Tribolium castaneum: one gene and its partner. The protein of the gene in region 2 interacts with the protein of the main gene of each other region in a pairwise test. Links are inferred from orthologs where the notes say so. Each region holds a gene or a part of one and is shown on either strand. Other genes may lie near its edges. The genes, in order: DNA replication complex GINS protein PSF1 and Sld5.

Region 1 (3,203 bases), on a different chromosome or scaffold from region 2:
TATTGTTTGGGTTCAACCATGGTTACTGGTTAGTAGAGACATGGTAGTTAGTAGATCTGGATAAACAATACACACTAATGCTTTTAGGGTCTACATTAGAAACTTTTCGACTTCTGATTTTGTATACAATCCAAATCGACCATTCTGAGTTCAACTAAATTAGTATTTTTAAACTGGCTGATTTTCCGGAACTACGAGAAATTATCATATGTCAATTTTTTTTATATAAATTTTGATTTGCAGGGGTTCATTTGAAATATCACAGCTCGTGAACCCTTTATAATAAGTGAATAATTCTTTTTGCATTTGATAGCCAAAGGTTTGAAAGATCTTCTAAAATCTTCTGTATTGTCAACCGTAAAACTGCCTTACTTTACATAATTCACAAAATTATAATGAAACATAATTAAATATTATTGTTTTACTGCTTATTTGATAATGAACCAGCTAAAAATTAAATAAGTTTGACAATTGTTGACCATTTTGCAAGTTCTACTTGATTAACTATGAAAACTGCGAAGTAGTGATTTAACTTCAAACTTGGCGCCAATTTTTTGTAGTTCCGAAAGCTCAGCCATTTTGAAAAAAAATAAGTTGAATTCAGAATAGTCGATTTAGATCGTGTACAAAATTTTAAAGCTCTAGCTATATTACAAGTTAAAAGTTACTAATGTAGGCCCTAACAGAATCACCGTGTATAACTCAGGTATCAATTTACTTACAAACACTAAAACATGGAATTTAATCAGAGTTGGCGACACTGGACGCTTTTATTTTACGAAATAAGATTAATTTAAGATTATGTTACAACTAATTATTTAGTATTGAATCACCACGTACAAAAATAAGGTAATTTAAATATTTTCAAGGACATTTGATGTTTAAAAAAAAGGCGCCAAATTCAAACAACGTGTTCAAGGACCCCTTGTCGTATTAATTCCTCGCATTCGCTTCTCGGTAAGTAATGACGACTGTTTTCCTTCAATAACAACACCGAACCATCGTTCAATTCAAACTGTCCATAATCCGTTAGACACCTGACCTCAATATACAAAGACTTTGGCGGTTTTAAATCCACAGCTAAATTAATCCCTTCATCACCAATTGATCGCATATATTGTACTAAATTGCTGGAATATTTCGAAAACCATTCAATTTCCGATTGACTTAAATTCGATTTAACATCTGGCGGTAAAATACTGCCGAATTGCCAGCGCATGTTTCTGAGACATTTTAACCGATTGTAGTGATAAGCCAGAATGCATCGAATGTTCCGTTTGATAGCCGCATGCCGTATTTTGACTGTAGGTAAATAAGAGGCGTGATTCATAACCCGACTATCTTCAGAAATTTGACTGAAAAAAAAAACGCTGAAGTATTGGTTTCGAGGATCAAGTGTGTAAACTTACGCATCTTCTTGGTTTTGAGTAATGAGTTGCTTGACTTCAGTGTTGATTTCATTGAGAAGATCAGTCTGAAAAAAAATTGTAAAATATTGAGTGAGGAACAATTTGGTAATTTTTACGTTGTAAGGCGGTAAAGCGTCCCGGTTTCGAGATAATTCTTTGATCAAAACGTGGGCTTTCTCACAAAACATTTCGATTTAAAATTTTGTCTAAATAGTTTTCTAACCTAAAAGCCCGCCAAATGACAGTAAAGGTGCATTTATAATGACAGGCCACAACTAAAGGCGGGTTTACACGAATCACGCGTATCCTTGTGTGATGTCACATCTACGGTAAGTTATGCTGCCCTACTACGCAAAAATTTCGTCACTACTTTTACGTATTTTTTGAGTTATTTCATGTTTCTTAAATTTTCTATGGTATCTTTATTTCATATAATTGAAGTATGAAATTTTGAACTTTAATAAACGATTTATTTGCAAAAATGATATTGGCACGTTATTTTATGCATATCTTTTTAGAGTGCTGTTTTTCAATATACGACAATTGAAATACAAATTTTCTTGAAGTTTCGAAGCAAAAAAGTCGTAACTACAAAAAACATTTTTTGAAGATAATTAAACAATTGATGGCAAAATATTCGTATAATAAATTAACGAAGAAGCAATCTAGATGGACAGTCAATGCTCTTACAAAGTGGCTAATAAGTATGGCTACAGCTAATTTTTTTATTAAAATGTGTTCTTTTACAGACAAAAGTGTTATTTAATAACCATTATTAACTTTAACTTATTTTTTGGTCAAAGTTCAGGCGGAAACGAGCTAACGTTAGATAAAGACAACATTTCCAAAGCAGAGAAAATTTTATTAGTTAGATATTTTTTTAATGAGATAAGCATGTGTTACATCAAGAACTAAAAAAATAAATTTGACCCTTCTTGCTGTGTAAAAAAAGTTAGCCTTGTATCCCCAGAAACAAAATTAATGTAAATGAAAATTTTATAGACATCTAAAACGATAGAATTTAAACAGTACTTTTAAGCAAATACAAGATTTCAATTAATTATTATTTAATATTTAACTGTATCCATACTTTTTAGCAACCAAGTATAAGAGTAATATTATAATATCTAATAATAACAATGAATACTTAACTAAATAGACATTTTTAATTTTATTTTTGGGGCAAATTGTTCCAAAAATTATGCTATTAAGAAATGAAATGGGACAACTAAATATTTTTTTTATCACTTTTGGAAAATTTTGTTAATTTTTTTAGTTCGATGGTAATATTTCATGACGGGTCTTGCACAATGCAGTCTTGTCAACTGAAAATTGTAGTTGAAAAAATAGGCCTTAGTACCAAATGACTTTATTAATTTAATTTTACTACTTACATGTTTCTAAAGGAATAAAATCACAGATATATTGATTATTGTTTAACAGATAGTAGTAACTATGACTTAACCCTATAAAAATCTTGAATAAAACACTTCAATATGAAAACAATCATCCAAAGTTATCACAAAAAATATTCTTTACAAGAGATGATACAATATCAGGAATTAAAATAAGAAACATGTTACGCCTGCTGCATACAAATATTTCTGTATAAATATAAAGTACTTTATAAAAAAGAATACATCAATGCGCAGTAGTAGCTATTAACACATTTAGTATATACAGGGTGATGAGCGTGATTTAAACACGCTACAACAAAACCTGTATGTTCCACCAAACAAGGAGGAGAAAAATGCTTCATTATGATACAACATCAATTTCTCTAGGCGACGCCAA
Region 2 (3,062 bases):
TACAATCTTGACCCATTTGAAAAATGTGATGACAAGACTTTATGGAAGGCTTTAGAAAACGTGAGTTTTGTAAAACCGCAATATATCACTGATTTTTTTTGTTTAGGTCGAACTCAAAAATGCCATAGACAGCTTAGACCAAAGAGTGAGCGAGGGAGGTTCCAATTTTAGTGCCGGCCAACGCCAGCTTGTCTGTCTTGCCAGAGCTATAGTCAGGAATAACAAAGTGCTGGTTCTGGATGAAGCAACCGCTAATGTTGATCCGGCAACTGATGCTCTGATCCAAACCAGTATACGTAAAAATTTCAAAGAGTGTACAGTCCTAACTATAGCACATCGATTGAATACTATAATGGACTCGGACAAGGTTTTGGTGATGGATGCAGGAGAAGCGGTGGAGTTTGACCACCCACACCGGCTTTTACAAAATCAGGAAGGTCGTTTTAGTCGCATGCTTCGCGAAACGGGGAAAAATTTAGAGACCCAGCTGAAAGAAGTTGCAAAAAATGACTACGAGAACAAATTCGGACCAATAAGTACCAGTGATGAACAAAATGATAATAAGGAAGAATAGAAGATTTATTTTTTTAAAACTTAATAAATAATTGAGACGCTTTAAACTACTTAAAGAATGTTACTTAACATTGAGATTCTAACAGTGTATTTATTTTGAGTTTTTTGTTGATTTTTATCAAATATATTACATATATTTTATATCAATTGGACGTCTCCTTTTTTCACCAAATCAGTCACGCTGTTATATGACAGTATCATTTGCGAACCCACAGTTAAATCAGCGACTTCATCATCGTCACGGCTTGGGTCTATAACAACCCCTTCTACGGCAGTTTTAGCTTTCAAAAACACAAAACTGTTCATATTTGGCGCAACTATGTGACTTTTCCAGTCTTCGAATGGCAAGCCCGGGTAAAAATTAGTCGCATTTTCGAAATGCTGTTCTAAGTCTATAAAAACAAAAAAAAATAAGAAAACAAAACAAAAACAGTAACTAAAAAAATAAAATAGAAAAAAAAAACAAAATATAAAACCTTGTTTGTATTTAATCGCAAATTGTTGTTCGGCTTCCGTTAAATACAACTCTTCTTCTCTCTCGCCCCTCTGTTCCTCTTCTTTTAAAATATGCAAAACATAAGTTTCGATTTTTTCCAATCTGTGACGAAGGTAACTCGCCACCAAAAAACGAATCCTATCGACTTCCAATTGATGAATTCCTTTTTTAAAGTCGGTGGATGGTAAAGTCTCTAAATTTTTTTCCATGTATGATATTTGTCCCAGCACGCAATCGACAACTTCTTGTTTATGAGGGAGGATCTCAGGTGCGAATTTCTCATTAACCCACACTTCCTCCATCATTTCGATTAACTCGGCTGAAGTTAATTGCACGTTGTCATCGTCGTCGTCCTGAATCGTGTTTTCTAAATCTTCCAATTCCAAATCCATTACAAAATAACACAAAACACAACTGTGAACACTAATCAGCTGAAGCGCGGGAAAACGTGCTCAATTGCCAACCGTGAAACACCAAAACCCACTTTAACACGTAGTATTATTGGTTATCTAGCTAAGGGGCACCAAATAATGTATTCTCCACCATTATTTTGCGTTTCCGAATTTATCGACTTGTCTTTTGAAAAATTCCACTGGCGTGGTTATTTTTAAGAACTAAGGTTCGTCCTTGTAGTAAATTCAAACAATGTAGGCCATCGCCATTTGTTCAGATGTCACATTTAATTGTTAACTTTTAGCGCTTTTAATGAGTATTTTTAATGAGCGTGAAACCACATCCATACTCCCATCAATTGCATAAAAAATCACAAAACAAATTGTTCCGGTCGATTGTATGTAAATTACAAATAAACAGATATTACCATTCGCGTATCTAATAAATTTTAAAGATATAGACTTTCTCAGGGGCGTTGCACAATCTTCGCGATCCTTGTGGAGAACTTCTCGAATATTTTTTCCGCAAAAACTTGTTAATGAAAATTAAGTAGGTGAATAACTGAAATGGTTGCTTGCAAATCTTCAATTAAATTGCTGGAGCGTAACGTTTGTACGTCTTTTAAATACTGATGGCATTTAAGTTAGATAAATTACACAAATTTCGTCACTTTATGTAAGAAATTCGTACCAATTCTAGGCAATCGTGCCAATAATTTTTAGTATGAGGAAGTTTTTTCCATTAAATAACAAATTTTCCTTAGCAGTTTTCTTCATTCCGGTTTCCATTCGATTTATCTCTGGTACTTTCAGAATAAATAAGTCATTACGTGTCTGGTAGCCATCTGTTTGTTGTCATCCTACATGAGATTCATCTTATAATCATAACACTTGAAAGTGAACGGTGTTAAGATTATTGTCTGGAAAATTAAGCAAATATTTGCTCAGATCGATCAATAAAAGATCCACTTAAGGCAAGTCAACAATTGCTCGCAGCAGGGGGACTCTATAATGCAACAAGATAATTGATCGTACTTAACACTGATTTATGTAACAATTGTAATTCTTTCAATCTGTACCACGATCTTCTCATTTTTATTACATTTCCCGAGGCAATTTGTCGGTTTTGAAATTTATGTTGTCCAAAGAAGCAATGACAAAACTGGCAGAAGCCATAAAAAGGAGCAAATTGATGACCTCATGAACCATCACATCAGTCGATGAACTTTTTTTTCTTCGACAAACTCTCACTATCCATTGCTTCACCCTCGATACTACAGTTAGTTTAACAGTTTCTTAAATAATAATAATTAATTTTTTCCTTTCATAATTGATGGTTTATTATCGAACGTTTGCTAATCGATCAATTTCGAAATTGCTAATTTGCGACGCTGTCCCTTGTTGCCTTAGATAAATAGATCCAAAACGTTGTTTTCTTTAAAATTTCTTCACTTGTTGCATCACGCATCATAGATGGAATTTTCAGTTAAAAAGTGAATTTCGTCACATTTGTGCAGATATTTAAAAAAGTGAGTGTCCAGATCGGTGCCTACATCTCGGCGTCGACAAAACAAACATAATTCACCAAGGGGAAAGAGAAA

What was found.
Region 1: the proteins of Sld5 (region 2) and DNA replication complex GINS protein PSF1 interact in a two-hybrid assay, tested with the Drosophila melanogaster proteins (2 studies listed by BioGRID). The link is inferred for Tribolium castaneum from reciprocal best matches to the Drosophila melanogaster genes Sld5 and Psf1.

What each region holds. Positions count from the first base shown.
Region 1 is NC_087400.1:16,460,244-16,463,446, forward strand, and holds DNA replication complex GINS protein PSF1, read right to left. Parts: upstream 1,691-3,203; 5' UTR 1,598-1,690; coding exon 1,526-1,597; intron 1,475-1,525; coding exon 1,410-1,474; intron 1,356-1,409; coding exon 902-1,355; 3' UTR 752-901; downstream 1-751. Other genes in the region: PWWP domain-containing protein 2A, read right to left, coding at 3,168-3,203.
Region 2 is NC_087398.1:5,431,552-5,434,613, reverse strand, and holds Sld5 (DNA replication complex GINS protein SLD5), read right to left. Parts: upstream 1,534-3,062; 5' UTR 1,462-1,533; coding exon 1,050-1,461; intron 966-1,049; coding exon 712-965; 3' UTR 645-711; downstream 1-644. Other genes in the region: ATP-binding cassette sub-family C member 4, read left to right, coding at 1-60, 107-574.